7 linked regions of the Tribolium castaneum genome follow. The protein of the gene in region 1 binds, or shares a complex with, the protein of each later gene. Links are inferred from orthologs where the notes say so. Each region holds a gene or a part of one and is shown in the gene's direction. Other genes may lie near its edges. The genes, in order: SmE, SmF, Sf3b5, crn, wmd, ncm and 116 kDa U5 small nuclear ribonucleoprotein component.

The links.
Region 2: SmE (region 1) and SmF share a complex: the UniProt entries of both Homo sapiens proteins name them as parts of the U7 snRNP complex. The link is inferred for Tribolium castaneum from reciprocal best matches to the Homo sapiens genes SNRPE and SNRPF.
Region 3: SmE (region 1) and Sf3b5 share a complex: the UniProt entries of both Homo sapiens proteins name them as parts of the minor spliceosome. The link is inferred for Tribolium castaneum from reciprocal best matches to the Homo sapiens genes SNRPE and SF3B5.
Region 4: SmE (region 1) and crn share a complex: the UniProt entries of both Homo sapiens proteins name them as parts of the minor spliceosome. The link is inferred for Tribolium castaneum from reciprocal best matches to the Homo sapiens genes SNRPE and CRNKL1.
Region 5: SmE (region 1) and wmd share a complex: the UniProt entries of both Homo sapiens proteins name them as parts of the SMN-Sm complex. The link is inferred for Tribolium castaneum from reciprocal best matches to the Homo sapiens genes SNRPE and STRAP.
Region 6: SmE (region 1) and ncm share a complex: the UniProt entries of both Homo sapiens proteins name them as parts of the minor spliceosome. The link is inferred for Tribolium castaneum from reciprocal best matches to the Homo sapiens genes SNRPE and CWC22.
Region 7: SmE (region 1) and 116 kDa U5 small nuclear ribonucleoprotein component share a complex: the UniProt entries of both Homo sapiens proteins name them as parts of the minor spliceosome. The link is inferred for Tribolium castaneum from reciprocal best matches to the Homo sapiens genes SNRPE and EFTUD2.

Annotation. Positions count from the first base shown.
Region 1 is NC_087394.1:32,141,501-32,143,967, forward strand, and holds SmE (probable small nuclear ribonucleoprotein E), read left to right. Parts: upstream 1-1,316; 5' UTR 1,317-1,533; coding exon 1,534-1,818; 3' UTR 1,819-1,967; downstream 1,968-2,467. Other genes in the region: kelch-like protein 21, read left to right, coding at 2,087-2,220, 2,270-2,429. UniProt on the Homo sapiens protein: Plays a role in pre-mRNA splicing as a core component of the spliceosomal U1, U2, U4 and U5 small nuclear ribonucleoproteins (snRNPs), the building blocks of the spliceosome.
Region 2 is NC_087398.1:3,706,351-3,708,668, reverse strand, and holds SmF (small nuclear ribonucleoprotein F), read left to right. Parts: upstream 1-1,286; 5' UTR 1,287-1,402; coding exon 1,403-1,577; intron 1,578-1,629; coding exon 1,630-1,721; 3' UTR 1,722-1,818; downstream 1,819-2,318. Other genes in the region: calmodulin-like protein 4, read left to right, coding at 448-450, 501-531, 580-995. UniProt on the Homo sapiens protein: Plays a role in pre-mRNA splicing as a core component of the spliceosomal U1, U2, U4 and U5 small nuclear ribonucleoproteins (snRNPs), the building blocks of the spliceosome.
Region 3 is NC_087396.1:17,669,933-17,672,196, forward strand, and holds Sf3b5 (splicing factor 3B subunit 5), read left to right. Parts: upstream 1-1,293; 5' UTR 1,294-1,417; intron 1,418-1,471; 5' UTR 1,472-1,473; coding exon 1,474-1,731; 3' UTR 1,732-1,764; downstream 1,765-2,264. UniProt on the Homo sapiens protein: Component of the 17S U2 SnRNP complex of the spliceosome, a large ribonucleoprotein complex that removes introns from transcribed pre-mRNAs.
Region 4 is NC_087400.1:96,392-100,552, reverse strand, and holds crn (protein crooked neck), read left to right. Parts: upstream 1-1,465; 5' UTR 1,466-1,563; coding exon 1,564-1,602; intron 1,603-1,656; coding exon 1,657-3,633; 3' UTR 3,634-3,661; downstream 3,662-4,161. Other genes in the region: Nle (notchless), read left to right, coding at 1-1,259; protein OPI10 homolog, read right to left, coding at 3,875-4,161. UniProt on the Homo sapiens protein: Involved in pre-mRNA splicing process. As a component of the minor spliceosome, involved in the splicing of U12-type introns in pre-mRNAs.
Region 5 is NC_087399.1:1,129,087-1,132,659, reverse strand, and holds wmd (serine-threonine kinase receptor-associated protein), read left to right. Parts: upstream 1-1,317; 5' UTR 1,318-1,433; coding exon 1,434-1,548; intron 1,549-1,615; coding exon 1,616-1,906; intron 1,907-1,971; coding exon 1,972-2,096; intron 2,097-2,470; coding exon 2,471-2,923; 3' UTR 2,924-3,073; downstream 3,074-3,573. UniProt on the Homo sapiens protein: The SMN complex catalyzes the assembly of small nuclear ribonucleoproteins (snRNPs), the building blocks of the spliceosome, and thereby plays an important role in the splicing of cellular pre-mRNAs.
Region 6 is NC_087398.1:673,937-678,227, reverse strand, and holds ncm (pre-mRNA-splicing factor CWC22 homolog), read left to right. Parts: upstream 1-1,491; 5' UTR 1,492-1,620; coding exon 1,621-2,785; intron 2,786-2,963; coding exon 2,964-3,633; intron 3,634-3,691; coding exon 3,692-4,127; 3' UTR 4,128-4,173; downstream 4,174-4,291. UniProt on the Homo sapiens protein: Required for pre-mRNA splicing as component of the spliceosome. As a component of the minor spliceosome, involved in the splicing of U12-type introns in pre-mRNAs. Promotes exon-junction complex (EJC) assembly.
Region 7 is NC_087401.1:10,807,705-10,811,204, forward strand, and holds part of 116 kDa U5 small nuclear ribonucleoprotein component, read left to right. Parts: intron 1-3,327; coding exon 3,328-3,500. UniProt on the Homo sapiens protein: Required for pre-mRNA splicing as component of the spliceosome, including pre-catalytic, catalytic and post-catalytic spliceosomal complexes. Component of the U5 snRNP and the U4/U6-U5 tri-snRNP complex, a building block of the spliceosome.

The DNA of each region.
Region 1 (2,467 bases):
TTGAGCATTTGAAAATTGGGAAAAAACACTCAACCCCTATGCACAGATTTCATATAAATGATCCTTTGGTCCTTTGGGATCGGCTAGGGCTCATTAACATCAATTTTGTATCGTTTTGGCATTAATTTTGAGATTTTTCTCGCCTAATTCTAGTTTTTGGGGCTATTAAGACTCAAACAACACTTTACACTTCATCACAGTTTGGAAAATATAAATAATATAAATAAAAATAATCTCCGGTGCAAATAAAAAAATTAAGGTTCAAAGAGGTTTTGGGCCGCAAAGGTGTAGCACTTACCTTACCCAAATTGAAAAATGTGTCTTTTGAGCCGGTTTTTCCCCGAGTATTCTCCATAAACACAGTCAAGGGGCAGGTCGTTGTGCGCATCGCGCCAGGTCACAGTCTGCGCGCCCGCACTTTCAAATTCACAAATATTCCACAAAAACAGGTGCCCCACTTTGCATTTTTGAACCACCCAGTCCAAATAATCACTAGTTTCGTTCGATTTTCTGAGAGATAACAACACTGACTGACAATCACGCGATGACAACTGTTAAAAGCAGCATCCATTTGGTGCAAAGTCAAAGCACTCTTGGCAATTTTTTCTTAAGTGTGATTTCAGGCATTTATCTAACTTTTTGAGCAAAATAACCCTTCCTATTCAGTAAAGAGTTGATTTAAATGTCGTTTCACATCTTTATATCGAGTTTATAGCTTGTCGTTTTTTTCTTTAAAGTCACGTAAAATTATCCCGCCAAAACCAAAATTGTGTCATTAAGGGTAACAATGACAAAGAAAGACCTATTGACGATTGTGTGTGTGTAAGACACGGCGCAACTCCTCATATTAGCTATTTCAAAACTATAAAAACGCCAACCTCGTATTTTCTCTCAAAATTAGTTGTTATAAATTATTTATGCACTTCAAAAAACTAATAGGTAATGTTATTTATAGTCTCAATGATTTATTTATTAATAACTATTTTACATTTTTATCAACCTTATTAAAAAAAAATTGAGTTTATGAGACACCAAGTTCAAAAAAAATATATAAAAAACTATCACGTCAAAGAAAGCTAAATGAGAATAAAAAAAATTTTTTTCGAGACATTTACGCCCATCTGATGATAATTATGGAATAACTCAGCTTGATTAGTTAAGGAAAACCCAAAATATAAATTGTGCGACTATAATTCTGCGTGAATAATTTTGGAAAAAAAATGGGACGTTGGTGTTTTTATAGTTTCGAAACAGCCTAAAAACGACCAAACCACCAGACCTTTTTCTGGTGTATTTCAGCTCGTCAAGCTTCCCGCGTTCCACGATTGCCAACAGAATACAGAACTCACACAGATAACCTTACTTTGGTCGTATTGTAAGCGTCGCCTCATTTTTTAAGTTTTATAAATACTATTGCAAACTTTGAACAAGTTTTTTTCTCTTAATACGAATAATTCGTGCTGTGTGAAAGTGTGTTTGCACTTAGCTTCCTTAAAGAACTTTTTTTGCCGGTAACCCAAGACTCCTCTAACCATGGCGTACAAACCACAAAAAGTTCAAAAAGTGATGGTACAACCCATCAACTTAATTTTTCGTTACTTACAAAACCGTTCACGTGTACAAGTGTGGTTATACGAGAACATTAATCTGAGAATCGAGGGGCACATTGTGGGTTTTGATGAATACATGAATCTTGTGCTGGATGATGCTGAGGAATATTACGTTAAAACGAAGAACAGGAGGCAGCTGGGAAGAATCATGCTTAAAGGAGATAACATAACGCTGATACAGAACGTGAATCCTCAATCAGGCAATTAGTTGTAAATTGTAGCGTAATTCTAAGTTTCATAACAATTTTTTCATTCGTTGGAGTAATGTGTTTGTATGAAAACCGCAATTGGTCTTAGTATTAAGTGATTCATCAACTTTCTGTAAAAGAAATGCGGACATTAAAATTATTTTAGTAATTATGTCTATTTTTATAACTTCAAAGTCCTTAAAATTAAAATGTGATGGACAATACAGGTAATTATCGCTTTTTTAGAATTGTGAAGCTTGTAGGTGTTCCAATATATTTTTTTTGTAGGGGGTAAAGCTGCGACAGGTTTTGTCGAACGTTGCGTCAGCTACATTGGCGAAAATGCTGTAGAATGTGTAAAAACAAACTCATTTCTTTCTCTTCCCAAAGAAGCAGTCTTAAAATTAATCTCCTCAGATTATGTAAGTTTTAAAATTTTACTTAAAATCATTTATTACTGTTTCAATTTAGCTCTGTTTGGAGGAAGAGGATGTCTGGAGAGCAATTTTAAACTGGGCAAAGTACCAAGCTGGTGTCACCCAACCCACAGCCCATTGGACTGAAGAAGAGAGGGCCAGAGTGTGCCAGCACCTCTCACATGTCATTTCTCACGTCCGCTTACTTCTGATTGGTAAATTAAATTTTTTTTTTCTCTTATTTATTTGTAAT
Region 2 (2,318 bases), on another chromosome or scaffold:
GGAAGACTAATCAAGGCATTATTGGGTCAACTGGAACGGGAATGAAGAATTAGAGGAGAGTCGGAGGAAAGGAGGCAAAGTTCAAAGTGTGTTACCTTTTTTTAATTGGACGGGGATTTAACAACATCTAAGCGTGGAGTGATAAGACTATCGCAAATGACGAGCTGTTTTGTTATATAACTTTATTTATTAATAAATTACGTTAGAAATGAGGCGATAAATCGATTCGTTCGGGGGGTTTACAACCCTGATTAAGGGCTCCCACTAATCGGGGCCCCAAACAATTACCTGGCACAATTGGGCGATAAAATCATCATTTTATCAGAGATAAAAATAAATAATTCATTAATGACGAGTCTGTGCCAAATTTCGTGACGCTAACTGTACTTTCACCTGTTTCACCTTGATAATAATAATACAATTGACGTGTAAATATTTACAAGAAAAATGGTAAAAATAACCCGCTAAACCCACCCCAAACCTAATCAAGCTTGTTTCAGGCCCGCTACTTCAAGGAGCAAGACATTGACGGTAGGTACCCCCGTGATAGCCCCCCAAACTAACTCGTAAATCTTGTAGAATTTCGCGAGTGTTTCTACTTGTTTGCGCGCTCGGGGCACATCAAGTCCCTGGACGAACTCACAGTGATAATGAGGAGTCTGGGGCTGTCGCCCACCATCTCAGAGCTTGCGGGTTATTTCAAGCAAAAGAACGGCAAAATGAGCTTTGCTGACTTCTTGGAGGTTATGCATATTCACTCACGGGTGGAGAACGTGCCCAAGGAGGTGGTGGACGCCTTCAAGGCTGGGGACCCGGAGGGGAAAGGGGTGATTCCGGCCAAGCAGCTGCGTCACATGTTGCAAAACTGGGGCGAGTGTCTTTCGGCCAAGGAAATTGATCGGATTTTCAGAGAGGCAAATGTTAATAACAACAGTATGGTGCGGTACGAGGATTTTGTTAAGATTGCCTGTGCACCAGTGCCGGATTATTACTAGAGGGGGCTTACCCTAACACAGTCTTTTCCACGAAATTATGTAAAACACATGTCACAAATTTTTATTTTCGGATTTTCGCACTGGGGGGTTGGCAATGATTTTTCGGTTTGGTAAAATAGAGAGCCGGCAATCAACCCCCGCACAGTTATTTATTCTAACGCCAATAAATCATTAATTGACCACAATCCTTGTTTTTTTTAATTACGGTAATTTTAGTCCAAGAATCACAAAAAAACAATATGCGCCCTAAAAAATCAGACACCCATCAACTTTTTATACGTCGATGGTGGATGGAAATTTTGACAATTGACACAATTGTCGCTCGATTCCAACCTCACTTTTGCTGGTTAGCGTTGTGTCAACGTTTTTAGTTTATTTGCGATTTTTTGCACACAAAAACAACAACCATGTCGACCGCAATGCCCATAAACCCCAAACCTTTCCTCAACGGCCTAACAGGCAAGGCTGTGATGGTAAAATTGAAGTGGGGGCACGAATATAAAGGTTACCTTGTCTCAGTTGATGGTTACATGAATTTACAATTAGCAAACACAGAGGAATTTATTGATGGGAATATGACTGGTATGTAACTATGCTTTGGAGGCGGACCCCCTTGTGTAACATTTTTTTACAGGTAACTTAGGGGAAGTTTTAATTAGATGTAACAATGTCTTGTTCATAAGAGGGGCTGAAGAAGAGGACGAGGAGGGAGAGACGAAGGATTAATTATTTAATGTAAATTCAAGTTTAAATGTACGATCGGATACTTACGTAAATAAGTATTGTAGATTTAATTTTTTACCAAATAAATCGTGTTAAAGTACTTGTTTTTTTTTCTACATGTAACGTTACGATTGTCTACCACAAAAAAAATACACAAACTGTTACGGATTATAAACAAGAGAACTTGCTTTTGAAAAAAAATACAAAAATATATTTATTTGTTTAACATTAAAGGACGCTATAAAGTGGGGGATACATACAGTGTTCTATAAATAATTATAATGGAATAAGGAAATGATAATTAAGTACCAAAAATGTAAATTAAATCCTTGTAGTTAACGGCAAAACGAACAGATAGCAGCACAACTGAAGAAAGTTCCCCTGCACTTACAGTTACCTCTCATACACCTGCTTTTGCATTTACCCGAGAGGGAGCCAAAACATACTTTATATTTTAAAAAGCATCAATTTAATTTAATTTGATAACTTTGGCACACATTGGTCACAAGAAAAATTAAAAAAAAATTAAGTGTCATCAAATGAAGAGTCAAATACTAAAAATATTTTTTGGGCCGAAGCGAAAAAATTCAAAAACCCTTT
Region 3 (2,264 bases), on another chromosome or scaffold:
TCCTGATAAAAAATGGTTATATTTAAATTACGATAAGTATAACGCAAACAAAAACTACAGGCTGATAGAGCATTTAGGGCCACATTCATAATCGGGTTTAAAAGAGCATTAAAGTAGATGTTTATTTTTCACAAATCTTTCACACATTCCAAAAAACATTTAATTTAATGCTCCGTTAAATTCGATTATGAAAGTGGGCCTACATTTTCGATGGCAAGAAATAAAAGCACAAAAATTATCATAAACAATATTAAAAAAAGCAAACTTTCACCATATTTTTTAAAACGCTGCAAATATGGTTGAAAAAAGTGTATAGAATGCTTTTTTCCGAGAAAGTCTGCCATATCATATTTCTATCATTAACCATTTATTAGGTTTAAACAAATTTAGCGTGAGCGGCTGAAATATGGCCTCAAGAATTTTTTTCCACAAAAAAATGTCTGTTAGCTGTTTCAAATTTATAAAAACGCCAACGTTGCATTTTACCGATTTTATTTTTAAATAAGATTGATAAAAATATGAAATAGTTATTATTGATTAAATCTCTTATTGAAACTATAAATTACATTAGTTATTATTTTTTTGAAGTGCATGAATAATTTATAATAGCTAATTTTGAGAGAAAATGCGACGTTAGCGTTTTTATAGTTTTGAGACAGCTAATAATATACGTATTTTTCCCCATTTTTTCAGTTCGTCTCCTTTTTTCTCAAAACAGTTAAAAACTGACCAAATAAACACATAATGTCTATATACGTAAAAAATTACTAAGTATAAAAACTAGCATAACATAATATAATAATAAATAATAGTATATTTAAAAACAAGTTTTCTATGGGATGAGTGCGCCAAAACCCTTATAAAACGAGAATGTTTTTATGATTTTTTCTTATTTTAATTAAATTTTTTTGTCGTCTAGGGAATTTCGTGTCAGTTGGTGACGGTAATAAATAATAAATAAAGAAGAAATGATGATTAAATCGATCGTACGTGTATTCCACGCATTATCGATGAAACTCTTGAAAACTAAATATCCCTAAATTCATTAAAGTACACTGTACTTTAATAGCCATAAACGACTCCTACTGATATATGTTAATACACGTGTATTATAAACGAAAAATATAATATAATAATAGAGAGACTGACCACTATCCTGTTACACTACAAAACGAAGGATTTTTAAGGCTCATATTTACAATTGCGCGTTATTCAAGTGAAAATAGTATAGCATTTTTGGTGGCACCTAAAGAAAATTTCAGAAATACAACACACCCTGTATAATAAATGTTAGCGAGAGGAATAAAAACCTAGGGACTTTTTTGCTGCCGAACAACAGTGGCAACCCTAACATTTAACACTAATGAGTAGTGAGTTGAGTTCGAGGTTAGGTGAACTTAGGAGCATCAAAACAAAAGTGTGTTTCTTCTTTGTGTGTCTCTATTTCGTAATTTACTGCAATTTGTAAAAGTAATGGGCGACCGCTACAACATCCACAGCCAGTTGGAGCATCTCCAATCGAAATATATCGGAACAGGCCACTCTGAAATAACGAAATACGAATGGCTGCTGAACCAGCATAGAGACAGTTACGCCAGTTATTTGGGGCACCACGATTTGTTAAATTATTTTGCGATTTGTGAGAACGAGGCAAAAGCCCGAGTTAGGTTTAATCTAATGGAGAAAATGCTTCAACCGTGTGGTCCACCTCCAGATAAACCCGAGGATTAGATTATAGTAAAGTCAATAAAAATTTTCATATAATCGTTGTTTTTTTTAAAAGACCATTTTAGAATTCTTCCGATAACTAAAATAATTGTAGCCGAAAGGTCTACTTTGTATTTCATTTCGCCTTTATTAGAATAGAATACCTACTTTATTTGTGTCAATACTAATTGCACTAATAGAGTATTCCACACACGCCGCAAAATTAACTTACATTTAAATAGGTATTACTGTATTACATAGGCAAGATATCACTAAAATCATTCCGAAGATATGTATTCCTTAATCGAATAAAAAGTTTTGGAAATTAAATAGTGTTTCAAGTTCTTTAATAAAAACATGGAGGAAAATTTCTAAAGGTAGTGGAAGGGCATTTAAAAATGTATTTATTTATTACCCTTATTAGGAATATAATTTTTTCTAGTACAATAATTTATGACTTTAAGAGAATATTCTTAGCTTTAGTTCGCTGCATTTTTATAAAAAAAAAACAGATTTTCAATATATTTATTTTTTATTTACCAATTATAGTGACAATA
Region 4 (4,161 bases), on another chromosome or scaffold:
CGTACATTTTTTACGCCAACGACACCGAAATCACACATTCGCTCGAAAAAACCTTAAACTTGTCGGACTTGAACACCGAAACCGTCATCGACATCCTCTACCAGCAACAAGCCGTGTTCCGAGTGCGTCCCGTGACAAGATGTACAAGTTCAATGCCAGGCCATGCCGAAGCTGTCATTTCCGTGAGTTTTTCCCCCGATGGTAGACACCTAGCGAGTGGTTCTGGCGATACAACCGTTCGGTTCTGGGACGTGGACACCCAGACACCTTTTAAGACATGTAAAGGGCACACGAACTGGGTGTTGTGCATTGCGTGGGCCCCCAATGGGCGTAAACTAGCTTCGGCGTGTAAAGACGGCAAGGTGGTGGTATGGAACCCCGAAAATGGGGCCCAGATTGGTAAAACTCTAATTGGGCATAAATCATGGGTCACGGCCCTGAGTTGGGAACCCTACCACCAAAACGCCGAGTGTCGCTTTCTAGCCTCGGCGAGTAAAGATTGTGACGTCAGGATTTGGGATACGGTCCTGTGTTCTTGTACTAGGGTTATTTCTGGGCATTTGAAAAGTGTGACTGTGGTCAAGTGGGGCGGTCTGGGGCTCCTTTATACGGCTTCGCAGGACCGGACTGTTAAAGTTTGGAGGGCTAAAGACGGTGTGTTGTGTCGTACGTTAGAAGGGCACGGTCATTGGGTCAACACTTTGGCCCTCAACACTGATTATATCCTCAAATTGGGGGCGTTTGACCCAGTCAAAGACACCCAAATCCAATCACAAGACTTCGTCCTGCGTCGTTACAACGAAATCGTTAACCCTATCGGTGATGAAAGACTCGTCTCGGGCTCCGATGATTTCACTTTGTTTTTGTGGGCCCCCTCAAAAGACAAGAAGCCGTTAAATCGGCTCACGGGGCACCAACAATTAGTTAACGATGTGAAATTTTCACCAGATGGTCGCATTTTTGCCTCGGCTTCGTTTGATAAGAGTATTAAATTATGGGAGGCCAAAAGTGGTAAATTTATTTGTACGTTAAGGGGGCACGTACAGGCTGTTTATGTGATTTCGTTTTCGGCCGATTCTAGACTTTTAGTGAGTGGAAGTGCCGATTCAACACTCAAATTGTGGAATTTGAGGGAGAAGAAATTGGAAATTGATCTGCCAGGTCATGGGGATGAGGTCTATGCGCTTGATTGGGCCTCAGATGGCTCCAAAGTGGCCTCGGGGGGTAAAGACAAAGTCTTAAAGTTGTGGCAAAATTAAATGCAATAAAATTTTGTAATTTTTCTCGAATTTTATTTAAAAAAAAAACAGAAAACTGTAATTGTGCGCGACATGTGGCGTCACCAGTGCAAATCTACAAATCCAATAATACAAAAACTGGCTTGCGGAGTTTAATTACTTACGTAAATTATTGTTTAATCTATATTACAACAAACAAACACTCGATCAAAATTTAAGGCACGATATTTCACAATTTGTGTGGTCCAAACATAACCACAAAAAATCGTAAGGTTATGTTCGTGTTTGTTTGTTGTGCTACAAGTTGGTAAAAGTCGCCCCTGAGATGGAAACCAAGCCGCAAAAGATGCCCAAAGTGGCCAAGGTACGTTATTTACCTTCTCTTTCAACTTAATAACTAACTAAAATAATTTTCCAGGTGAAAAATAAAGCCCCTGCTGAGATCCAAATCACAGCCGAGCAGCTCCTTCGCGAGGCAAAAGAGCGCGACCTTGAGATTCTCCCTCCGCCCCCTAAGCAAAAAATCTCCGATCCAGCTGAACTTGCCGACTACCAACTCAGACGCCGTAAACAATTCGAAGACAACATACGAAAAAATCGAACTGTTATCTCCAATTGGATTAAATATGCCCATTGGGAAGAATCGCAAAAGGAAATCCAACGAGCTCGTTCGATATTTGAACGTGCCTTGGATGTGGACCATCGTAACGTTACCATTTGGTTAAAATACACTGAAATGGAGATGCGAAACCGTCAAGTGAACCATGCTAGAAATTTATGGGACAGAGCCGTCACGATTTTGCCCAGAATCAACCAGTTTTGGTACAAATACACCTACATGGAGGAGATGTTGGAGAATGTGGCTGGGGCCAGAGCTGTCTTTGAACGCTGGATGGAGTGGCAGCCGGAGGAACAAGCCTGGCAAACGTACATCAATTTTGAGTTAAGATACAAAGAAATCGACCGTGCGCGAGAAATCTACGAACGCTTTGTTATAACACATCCCGAAGTCAAACACTGGATTAAATACGCCCGATTTGAAGAAAATCACGGTTTTATCAACTCGGCCCGCTTGATTTACGAACGAGCTGTACATTTTTACGGTGATGACCATTTGGACGAAAAATTGTATATTGCATTTGCACGGTTTGAAGAAAACCAAAAAGAACATGACCGTGCTCGCGTTATCTACAAGTATGCCTTGGACCATCTCCCCAAAGAACAAGCGAAAGAGCTGTACAAAGCCTACACCATACATGAGAAAAAGTACGGCGATCGTTCCGGTATTGAAGATGTGATTGTTTCGAAACGTAAGTTTCAATACGAACAAGAGATACTCGAAAATCCGACCAATTACGACGCTTGGTTTGACTATTTGAGACTGGTGGAGGGGGAAGGGGACCTTGAGACGTCACGTGAGACGTATGAGCGGGCCATAGCCAACGTGCCACCAACGAAAAATAAACAATACTGGAGGCGTTATATTTACTTGTGGATTAATTACGCCCTGTTTGAGGAAATCGAAGCGGTTGATTATGAAAGAACACGTCAGGTTTATAAAGCTTGCCTTGACTTGATCCCCCATAAGTTATTCACGTTTAGTAAAATTTGGTTGTTGTTTGCACAGTTTGAAATCAGGCGGAAGAATCTGATTGGTGCTCGTAAAATTTTGGGGACTGCCATTGGTAAATGCCCACGTGATAAATTGTTCCGTGGGTATATTGATATAGAGATACAGTTGCGTGAGTTTGACCGGTGTCGTATTTTGTACGGGAAATATCTAGAGTTTGGTCCGGAAAATTGTGTGACTTGGATGAAATTTGCCGAGTTGGAGACACTTTTGGGGGATTTTGAGCGTGCTAGGGCCATTTATGAGTTGGCAATCGCTCAGCCAAGGCTAGACATGCCTGAGCTGCTCTGGAAGGCCTATATCGATTTTGAGATCGGGCAAGAAGAGTGGGCTAATGCCCGACAATTGTACGAAAGATTGTTGGAGAGGACAAGTCATGTGAAAGTTTGGTTGTCGTATGCGAAGTTTGAGTTGAGTTGTGAGTCGGATATGAATATTAGTTTGGCAAGGCGTGTTTATGAGCGGGCTAATGAGAGTTTGAAGAGTTATGGGGAGAAGGAGGCGAGGGTTTTGTTATTGGAGAATTGGAAGGAGTTTGAAAGTGCAAATGGGAGCGAGGAGACGAAGGAGAAAGTTGAAGGGAAAATGCCAAGGAGGATTAAGAAGAGAAGGAAGGTTATTGATGAGGATGGTGTTGAGCAAGGATGGGAGGAGATCTTTGATTATATATTCCCTGAGGATGAGGCCAGTAAACCCAATTTGAAGTTATTGGCAGCTGCCAAAAGCTGGAAGAAGCAGAAGCAAACGGAAGAACCGGAACCGTGATTTTGAGAAAATAGAATTAAGGTTTAAATTTTGTTTTATTCCCCTTTTGTCACTTATCCAAGCGCTATCTGGTCAACGATTTTGCACTGCAACAATTAATTTTTTGTGGGCAAATGATAAGATAATAAAAAAATCGATACTTTATTCATTTAAATACATTAAAAGCGAGTGAGTTTTGAGACTTAACAGCCGCCATAATCCAGCTTTGATGAACACAAGACACACGTATGCACACATTCCTCTACGTTTTCCAAAAATTGGGGTTTTGTTGCAACCGTCGTTCAAAATTCGTGTACCAGTTCTGTACTGTAGCCAACGGAACGTACGTGGCCGTGGGATCTGGGACCATTTGCGGTTGCGTCACCGTATAACTCAGCACAAAATTCATAAAATTCTCCAACATTTTCTGAGCAAACGTGACATTATTACTGGGATTATTCGCCGATTCGATTTCCCGAATATTCGCCAGCGGCTCAATAGCGATCCCTATTTGCGCATTGTGTACGATGTGACTTTGCCCGAATAAAA
Region 5 (3,573 bases), on another chromosome or scaffold:
ACAAATGGCTATCCTAAATTTAGGCAAAAATTTTTAAATTTTTAATTCTTGTGAAAAATCGATATAATATGTAAAATGAGCCGTAGAATTCAATCGAATAAACCGCAATGCTCTACGACTTTTAATTTTTTTTTATGAATTTTTTTAGTGAAAAACTTTGATCGCCTCTGTAGCCGGAACCGTTGCCCGGAGCGGCTCCGGGTTTGGTCGAAAAAATAGACAAAATTAAGCGCTATCAGATGGTTTTTTGTTCGTTGCTCTAAGTCTTACAGTTTCCGAGAAAAACGCAAAAAAAGGTTTCCGTTTTCACTTTTTTTCAATTTTCAATCGTCAATTACGGCGAAACTATTAAAGATATCGAGAAACGGAAAAATGGAGGATAACCGGAATAAAAAACTCTACAAAATGGCATAGGACTTAAGGCGATATCTCGCAAATAATTTTTCAATTTTCAAACGCCGATTACGGCCAAACTAAAAGAGCTAGAAGAAAACGGTTTGTTCGATCGTAAAGAGCACATCAAAATCTATAAGACAGAATGGGTTTCCTTTGATTTTGAGACACTTTAAAAATTGGCCGATTTTGGGGGGGGGTGTTAACTTTTTTTTTAATTTTTTTATTTTCTCATTTACGGCTAAACACTATTGTAAAAAGTGGAACTGTTTTGATCCACACCTATGCAAAATGATCCGGGGAATCAATTGGCATCGAGAAAATTGCCAAATTCCCAATAGTTTTTTAGTTATGAATTTTTTAAAATTTTACCAATTTTTGCATTTAACAGCAATTTTCTCGAAAACTATTAGTCGGAGAAGAATAATCTTTTTTGAAAAAAAAAGATAATTTAAAGAGCTTTCCAACGATAATACACTTCATGGGGTTATCTCTAATAGTTCCGGAGCTATTGCTCGAGAAATGTTCCGGGTACCCAAAACCGACAAAAACTGCAACGATAATTGAAAAAATCAAACATCAAAAAATTGAACATATGGACTTTTTGTGGACCTTTAACAACTTTAGTGGGTTGTTAAGACATGTAGAAGTCCATAAAAATTTGCTGAAGTCAGTTTAAAAAAATTTTTTTTTCATCTCTTTGAAGGTAAGTAGTGTATTATAATATAACTCAGGAAATTTGAGCAAAAAAATTGAAAATTTTAAATCTCATGAAAAGTTGGTATAATACAGAAAATGAACCGCTGAATTCAATGGAACAAACCGCATTGCTCTACGACTTTTAGTTTCCGAGTTATGAATTTTTTTGTGATTGGTAGGTAACCAATTATACACCCGCGCATGCGTCCCTTATTGCCACTTTCCCAGCTGTTGTTGACGCTGTCAAATTCAGTTCGCTTTCTGAACTCCTCGTGTTAGTGTGGTGTGTAGGTTTTTAGTATAATTTTTTTGTACCGTTTGACCTAATAAAATAGAAAACTATGGCAAATCTTCGTCAAACCCCCTTAACCTGTAGCGGCCACACTCGTCCCGTCGTCCATCTCGACTTCAGTTCGGTGACAAAATACGGCTATTTCCTAATTTCGGCATGCAAAGGTAAGTTAAACTTTACCTTCGGCGACATTTACCTTGGCCTGGATTCACCGTACGAGGCCGCTTTCAGACGGCAAACCCATGCTAAGGCAAGGGGACACCGGCGACTGGATCGGCACCTTCGAGGGCCACAAGGGGGCGGTTTGGGGCGTCGCGCTCAACAAGGACGCCACCAAGGCCGCCAGCGGCGCCGCCGACTTCACCGGCAAGGTCTGGGACGCCAACTCCGGCGAGGAACTGCACTCCTTCCAGCATAAACACATCGTCAAAAGCGTCAACTTTTCCAAAGACAGTGCCTTATTGGCGACGGGGAGCAACGAAAAAATTGTCCGAATTTTCGATCTGAATAAACCCGAAGCGAGTAAGGTGGCCTCGCATTCGCCTTGGCTCCTTTTCTGATCGGAACGATTTGATTTATTGTTTCAGAACCCGAGGAGTTTACGGGGCACACTTCCGGGATAAGACACGTGATCTTTTTCAGGAATGACACGCATCTTGTCTCGTGTGCGGACGATAAGACTTTGAGGGTTTGGGACCGGAGTTCCGGAAAGGTAACCAAATCTCGAACCACGTCAATTTTGTTCTAGACGGACGGTCGCTACTTTAAAAAATATTGACCAGATTCGAGTTAAATCTACTTCAAATTCAAACACTTAGAAAAAACGTTTGAAAAAAAAACAAAATTATGTAATTTCCGCTTTAATCAGACGATTTTTCATTCGAAAGGGATAAATGATACATGTTTCCAAATATTTACTAGGTTATTGCCGTTATAAAAATAAAAAAACAAATTTGCAAAATTGTCAACTTTGACAATGTAAATGTCACTTTGACAAATTAAATTCCGCAAGATGTCGCCCTACTACGACCGGCCGTCTAAAAACTTTCGCTCTTGATCATAATTATACTAGACAGTTTTTTGCAGGAAGTCCAGAAAATGGACTTCCCGTCGATTCCGAACAGCCTTGAGGTGTCCAGAGACGGCACCGTGCTCACAGTAACCCACTCAAATCACGTCACATTCCTCGACTCCGAATCTCTAAACAAAATTAGAGAATTTTCCGTTCCTACGACAGTCAATTCGGCTTCGCTACACCCCGACAAAACGATTTTCGTCGCCGGTGGCGATGATTTGAAAGTCTACAAATTCGATTACACAACTGGAAATGAAATCGAATCGTTCAAGGGCCACTTTGGCCCCGTCCATTGTGTCAAATTCTCGCCCGACGGTGAATTGTACGCTTCCGGGTCAGAAGACGGCACTTTAAGACTTTGGCAAACCACAATTGGCAAGACTTATGGACTTTGGAAATGCGTTGACGGGCCCCAAATCAACAACGACGCGATTACGTCACCCAAAGAAGTACCCGCGATTTAGCTGTTTGACGAATTTGTTTTCTCCTCCTTCCTCAAATCCAAGTAACTCGTAGTTCTTTCACGATTAGGTGAACAGAAGACGAAAAAGCGACGGAAAACTGATTTATTTATGTTACTATTTGTTTGAATATTTAATAAATAATCACGAAAATTGGCGAGTTTTTGTCCCAAATTCCTGACATTGAAAGCGGGTTATTTGTAAACAAACCGGTTGACCCAAATCAAGGAAAAAGCACCAAAGAATCGCAAAAAGCGAGGTTAGGTTCTGGCCTTAATCAGTCGATCAATGGGAAAACACTAGGTGATAAAACTGATAAGTACGAAGTGAAATGGCCCGATTGCTACATTCAGTGATCTTGGCTAATAAATAATAAAGAAATGTGAAAAAAAAATCCACAAAAAAAGTGAGGTTATACCTCTTGTTTTTCCCCCATTTTCCACATAATTAAAAACGGTAAGAGGCAAAAAAACCTTTATAAATTACAAGCTCCAATTTATTACCGCTATGGTACGATAAAAACTGCGTAATCACAATAAGATAAAAAGTGAGGTTATGTCATTCAAAAAAAAAAAAATAAGAATTGGGTTATGATGCTATTTCAGGGGCCCCGGATGCGGAAATAATTTTTCCCGCATTATCAGCTTCCGTTT
Region 6 (4,291 bases), on another chromosome or scaffold:
TGGAGGCCTTATTTTCGGTCTTGTTGCGCATTTTACGATAACCCTTTTGTGACCTTTTTATCGGAACTGCACCCAAAACTATAATTAAAATTCTTTCCCCTAACTACTCAAGCGAGTGGTCAATTAATTTCTAAAAAAAGAGCGATTTGTGCGAAATAATTATTTACCATGACTGCAAGTTCCACTTGTAATTATTCCAAGCAAGATGATTAACAAAAGTCGCAACCTTGGGCCCAGCACCTTTAGCACCTACACCAACCCGGCACGCTTTTTTACTTAGAAAAAGTACCAAAAATTGGGCAAAATTTTGGAAAAATGGGAGAGGAGAACGCGCACGGTATCGGCACCGAAAGGTTGAGAACCAACTGAATTGCTATAGCATGGGTACTCTCCATAAAGCAGCCTCGGGCTCTTTTGTACGGATTGGTTTCGTTGGTCGATCTTTGAAACAGCTGGAGCTGGGTTTAAGTTCACTTGGCAGTGACCTTGATGCCTCGAAAACGCTGCATTCGCACTGTTTATTGTTCAAACTGTTTAATAAAATATGGTACACGCAAACATTTCACATATTCATGGGAGGCCTCCGCGAAATTCCGCAAAATTAAAATGCGTGACCTTATCGTTCTCCGCGCCGATTTTTTAAAATCCACAAACTGAATAAAATACCTTGTAACACTTTCAGTATGCCGTAAAAACGCTCTTTTCACCGCGGAAGTATTGTTGAGAAATCTTTGATCGAACTTGTTATTGTGCCATAAAAATTTAATTGTACGCTAGAGCTGTTATTAGCCACTATTATCGGTTTTTGCTTGTTTTTGCACCAACAGCCATTTCTCTTCAAGAAAAAGCGAAAGTCTGTGTCAAGTTATTCATTTTATGGGAACACATTAAAAGTCGCTGTCGAAGTAAATATTCTGAAAATATCGCGACCTGAGAACCATAAGGTTCTGACTATTTCACAATTTTACAATATCATATCTTGTCTTCTCAATTGCCTGAAATGTTATCATAAAATATAACACGTATTATATGTTAATCTACAAACAAACAATACACAATACAAGAAAAAAATAGCAAACTTTTCAGACATGCTCTACTTAAAATTTTATTGTTTTGAACTTTTAAATCAATATTTAAGGTTCCAAAGTAACAAATTTTGCCAAAATTACTTCCATGTAGGTACTTTTTGTTTTCTATCAATAGCTAAACGTTACATCATCTAGTTTTCTTTTATTTAACATTTAAAGATCATTAAAATCCCAAAATTCCCAGGTCGTGATATATTTTTTAGGCAAACGTGACCCCCAAAATCACATTCAAATTTTTTTGAAATTTTAGATTTGTCACTAATTTAGTAAGTCTGTAAATTTTCAAATATGTCTGGAATTAATAAAACCACCAATTCCTGGCCCTCTAGTTATGTTATAATTGCGTAAACACGTACATATAATTAATTATAATTTATTCTAAATGCACAAAAAAATCTGGCGACTTTAAAATTCAAAAATAGTAGGGAATTTGTCATTATCACCAGTGCCACATAACCTCAACCTCTTGCGTTGTTGTGTGTTGTCAATAATCGCCCCAATTTCTTACTGTGTTTTTGTGAGTGCTTAAAAAATGACCACCGACACCGAAACCTCCCCACAGCCCAAACCCAAGCGTAAAAGCCGCTCCAAATCCCCTGAATCCCGTAAAAAACGTCGTGACGACTCGCCCCATAAAGACTCCCGGAAGCGTTCCCGCCGTTCGCGTTCACGAGACCGTCGCAAAAGTCGCAAATACCACGACTTGGACCGCCCCCTTGAAGAATACCCTCGGTATTACGGCGAGGATCAAGAACACAAGAAAAACAGCGATAGATATTGGACCAAATACCCCCGCAAGGATGACCATCAGGTGGGTAGTAGGTATTACGGGGGCGAGCCCGACGATAAAGACAAAGAGTCTGAGAAGGAGACGGATAAGTCGGTGATAGCCCCCCGTGAGCGCAAAACCGTGGATTTACTGACACGGACAGGTGGGGCTTACATCCCTCCAGCGAAGCTGCGGATGATGCAAGCGGAGATTACTGATAAGAGCTCGGCGGCGTATCAAAGAATTGCGTGGGAGGCGTTAAAAAAATCCATTCATGGGTTTATTAACAAGGTGAATACGTCCAACATTGGGATTATTTCGCGGGAATTGCTCCATGAGAATGTGGTAAGGGGGCGCGGACTGCTCTGCAAGTCCATAATACAAGCGCAAGCTGCGTCCCCAACTTTCACAAACGTGTACGCAGCCCTGGTCGCTGTCATCAATTCGAAATTCCCTAATATTGGAGAATTGTTACTGAAACGTTTGGTTTTGCAATTCAAGCGCGGTTTCAAGCAGAATAATAAAATTATCTGCATTTCGGCCACGACTTTTGTGGCTCATTTGGTTAATCAGAGGGTTGCGCATGAAATTCTCGCCTTGGAGATTTTGACTCTTTTGGTGGAGACGCCAACTGATGATTCGGTTGAAGTTGCGATTTCGTTTCTGAAGGAATGTGGACAGAAATTGACTGAGGTTTCGAGTAAAGGCATTAATGCCATCTTTGAAATGTTGAGGAATATTTTACATGAGGGGAAGTTGGAACCGAGGATTCAGTACATGATTGAAGTTATGTTCCAAATCAGGAAGGACGGGTTTAAGGATCATGCCGCTGTTATTGAAGAGTTGGATTTGGTGGATGAGGAGCACCAGTTTACACATTTGATTACGCTGGATGATGTTAAGCAATCAAATGCTGAGGATATTTTAAGTAAGGAAACTTTTTAATTAGGTGGAACTGTACTTAATTTTTTATACAAAAAAATCGGGGTATCCAGGTTTTGAGATTTTTTATTATTATTTTTTTATTTCTCAGAAAAAATTATTTTGAAATTTTAATTAATTAATTCCTTAATTTGCCTCGTTCACTCTGTGATTATCCTGTCTAGATGTGTTTAAATTCGACGACAACTACGAGGAAAACGAGGGGAAGTACAAGACTTTGAGCAAGGAAATCCTGGACATGGACAGCGAGTCGGGCTCCGGCTCGGAGGAAGAGTCCGGTGACGAGGAAGACGACGAAGACGAGGACGAAGAGGAAGAAGAAGGCGCCCAAAAGAACGAATCCAACATAATCGACAATACGGAGACCAACCTCGTGGCCCTACGCAGAACAATCTACTTAACCATCCAATCAAGTTTAGATTTTGAGGAAAGTGCCCACAAACTAATGAAAATGGAACTGAAACCGGGCCAAGAAATCGAATTATGCCACATGTTCCTCGACTGTTGTGCCGAACAACGGACTTACGAGAAGTTTTACGGATTATTGGCACAGAGATTTTGTCAAGTGAATCAGATTTATGTCGAGCCATTCCAACAAATCTTCAAAGACACGTACGCCACAACACACAGACTTGACACAAATAAATTGCGAAATGTTAGCAAGTTTTTCGCACATTTGTTGTTCACCGATGCGATTGGATGGGAGGTTTTAGAAATTATGAAACTGAACGAAGAGGATACCAATAGTTCCAATCGGATTTTCATCAAGATTTTGTTCCAGGAATTGGCCGAATATATGGGCTTGGAGAAGTTAAATGCCAGGCTTAAAGATGCGTAAGTGACTGTGTTTGATAATTAACGAGGTTTTGTTAATTTTTTGGATTTTTTTCAGAACGCTTCAGCCACATTTTGAGGGGCTGTTTCCGCGCGATGATCCCAAAAATACAAGATTTGCGATTAATTTTTTCACGTCGATTGGCTTAGGGGGGCTTACGGCCGAGTTGAGGGAACATTTGAAAACAGCCCCTAAAGTCAATCCCTTGACGATTACTGAAAAATCAAGTGATTCTAGCAGCAGTAGCACTAGCAGTTCAAGCTCATCCAGTTCCGATAGTAGTGATTCGGATTCGTCAAGTTCCGAAGATGAGAAACCACGTAAGAAGAAGGAAGAAAAGAAGAGGAAAAAACCGACAAAAGAAGCATCAGACGATGATAAAAAACGAAAAACAGATGCGAGGAAACACAGACATAATGAGAGACGGTCACGCGATCGAGACGATCGGAGGCGGCGTAGGAGCCCCGAGAGGAAGCATAAGAGTAGGAGATAAGTTACTTTGTACATAAATTGTATTGAATAAATATTTTTATTTGTGACTTGTGTTTGATTCCTTAAAGTTACCAGATTTGAATTTGGCGCTTAGTCAAACCCACACTTTTGGCATTTTTTTTGACGAAATGTGGGTGTTAATTAAATTGCGTGTTTGTGCTTTTG
Region 7 (3,500 bases), on another chromosome or scaffold:
GACTCTTGCATAAACAGAAATACAACTTCCTTATTTGTCAATGCTTTTGAAGATACGTTCGATGAATAAAGAGATGGGGTTTATAATTATAAAACCTAGAGTTTTCAAAGATATGAAATTACGATTTTCTTGTTTTTTAAAATTGTAATGTTCTCATTTTTTTGATATTAAACGGTTTTACAACGTGAGGTTTCTAAATTTTATTTATTTTATTTAGGGCTAATAGTTCATTAAACATTAGAGTTTTAATTTTATTTTTCATTTTTATCAATTTTATTTAAAAAAATAATTCGGTAAAATGCGTTGTTGACATTTCTGTCGTTTTGAAACAGCTGGTAGTACCAGTTAAACTGTTTGCAATTTATTTTTGTTTCACATAACGGACGGGACAAAAAAATCTTGTGTGTGAAAATATCTCTAAAAAAATATTCAGCCAGGTTTTTTAATTATTAAAGACTAACATTATCAAAATTAGACAGAAATTAAAAATTTTTGGTCTTGGTTAACGACGTAAGAAATAAGAACCACAATAACGGACGGGACAGCAAAAATTACGAAGATATAAAAATAATATTACTAATCAATTTACTTACCGATTTCAATTTTCTACCAGAAACTAGAAAAATACTCTTCAAAAGATGTTCAACACTTGTAGTACGTCAGTATTTTATGTTCCCGTCTACAAGACAATGTACAGGGTGTCCCACCGAAAAGTGCACCCCCTCGTAACTTTTTTATTTATTAATCAATTCAAACAAAATTTAAATTACATATATTTGGACCAAAGGTCCACATTTTAATGTAACCATTTTTTTTGTAAATTTTAGAATTCACTGAATTACTTCAATTTAAATGATTATCCTTTCCCATTTTAAATCCACAACAAAAAAAAAACTCTTGTCACAAAATACATTAAATATAAACCGAATTCTTAATCGAAACTTAACATTACTACGATAATTTTGAAAATTTCGGTGTCATTATTCCTGAAATGGTTGATAATACGAGTAATTAATTGCATTTCTGCATGAAAAATGCGTTAAAATGCTCGTAAAATCATTTTTGATTTTAATTTTTAATGAATTGTATAGGTGCGAATATAATGGAAAACTCGTAAAATTACAATACTGGGTGAGTCATAATTAAGTCTACAATTTTATGAGGCGAAACGAGATATAAAATACCCAAAAAATTAACACAGCTCCAAATTATTTTAAATCAATTTACATTTAACTAATTTATTAATCGTGGAATAAAAGCACAAATATTCTTAATAAACTGACGAAAATCGAACAACAAATATGAGAAAAATATATTTCTATTAAAAATTTCAATTTTGCGCTGTGTGATATTTTTCAAAATGCTGCGAATATCGTTAAAAATCCATGAAAAATTTCCTACAAAAAGTTCTCGGTATTTTTATCTTTAATTGTGTGCTGTGGTGCCTGTGATTTTGTGTTTTTAAAGCAATTTAAACCGATACGGTTGAACATAATTGTATACTTTGTCCCTTATATTTTATTGTGTCTTTTACCATTTATTTATTTATTCATTTATTTATTTTACCATGAGGTTAAAACATCATGCGATTTTCTAAAATTTTGATCTAGTTATCCATGACAGTTACTTTAACTCGATGTACATTACGGAAATAAGTTTCCAACATATTTTTTTTATGTTCTTCGGTGAATATTTTGGACATATTGACAGATAAAGCGATGCTGAAATTATTTACGCAATTCGGAAGTAAAATTACCGTTGGGGGCGCCACTGAACTAGGTCGAAAACAGTAACCATAAATGGAGGGAAAATGTTTATTCGGATATTTTGAGCGTTGTACGAATTTTGGGGCTTCACAATTATTACATTGCCTATGCGGAATGATTATTGCATCTTTGATGCAAGAAACTTATGTTGATAAATGAGAGATGACGAGGAAAACACGAATAACGAATGACTGTTTGGTTCACTTTCTTTATTGGAAAATTATTACAAAGACATTGAAAAGCCTACCTTTTGGCATAATTTACGTTTAAATGTATCAGCAGTTGTTAATCTTTATTGTAGTTTTGTAGATTTACCGCAGCATTTCATGATTTTTTCAGTGGAAAATTCTAACCTAAAATTCACACACTTCACTAATTTATTGGTTTCTTGAGCCAAACTTTGTGTTCGCTGTGATCCATTACTTATAATCTTTAATTAGACAACTGTTTGATAACACTTTGTAATCAAAATTTAAATATTTTTCACTTTTTATCCACTTTCAAGTTCCAACAATAAACACTTTATACCACGAAAAACTACAGAACCAAAGTCAACGCTAGTATTTACCACCACGTACTTTTAAAGTGATTCTTTCTATTGTAAGTAATTAACACTATACACGCAAAATTGTTGAACAATTCATTAAATGTCAGTTAAATGTGGCATTACGAAAATTTCTTTACTGTTTTCGACATAGTTCAAAAGTCATCACCAGAGGGCGTCTAGTTAATTTTATCTCCGAATACGTTTCACTGTTGGCGTAACTGTCATGGATAACTAGATTAAATTTAAAAAAACGCTTGTTTCTTTCTTTGTTTGATTTTCTGTATTTTTTCACAACTTTTACCTTTAACTATTGAGAATTGCTCTAATGGTCTGTAATTTTTTTAGCTGATGTCGATAATTTCTAAATTAACTGAAGTTTTCCGATTTTTTAACTTCAATTTACTTCTCGGGGCAGTTTACATATGGGCGTTTAGTTCAAAATATTTTGTCTATTGGGTAGATTTTTATTTTTCCAATTTTTAGATTTATTTAAGAAATGTGTGACTCGAAAACTATACGCTTTAGAGCCTTACATGAAAATACTGGGAATACATATTTAAGTTTCTGGAATGACGTTACATAAGAAACATAAATAAGTTCGTTTGTCCGGAATAAAATGGAACTTGTTAAAATTTAAAACAAAAAATTACTACGTCCTGTCTTTAACTAAATTACTATTTTTCTAATTAATTGATAAGCATCTGCTTGTCATAACACTCATAATATAACATAACCGTCGTAATGTTTACCATTCGCCCCCCCTCCAAAAATAACAACAAAAAACAATTAAGCCCTTATCAGATTCGTTAATAAACCCAGGAGCAATTTTTTTGCGCGTCTCAACCGCAATAAATGAGGTAACCAACGAGTTGTAAAATCTCGTTTAGCCCCAAGGCCGTTCATCTAGAGATAAGTTCCATGACCTCGACTAATGAATTAATGATAACGAGTTGTTTACTACGTCTTGACTTTCAAAAATTCTAAAAATACCGCATTATTTAATCAAAATTCCAGATACAAAATCGAGCTAAACCGCGTCCCTGCCGGCAATTGGGTCCTAATCGAGGGCATCGACCAATCAATCGTTAAAACAGCCACAATCACAGACCTCACAATCTACGAGGACTTGTACATTTTCCGCCCCCTTAAATTCAACACCCAAAGCATCATTAAAATCGCCGTGGAGC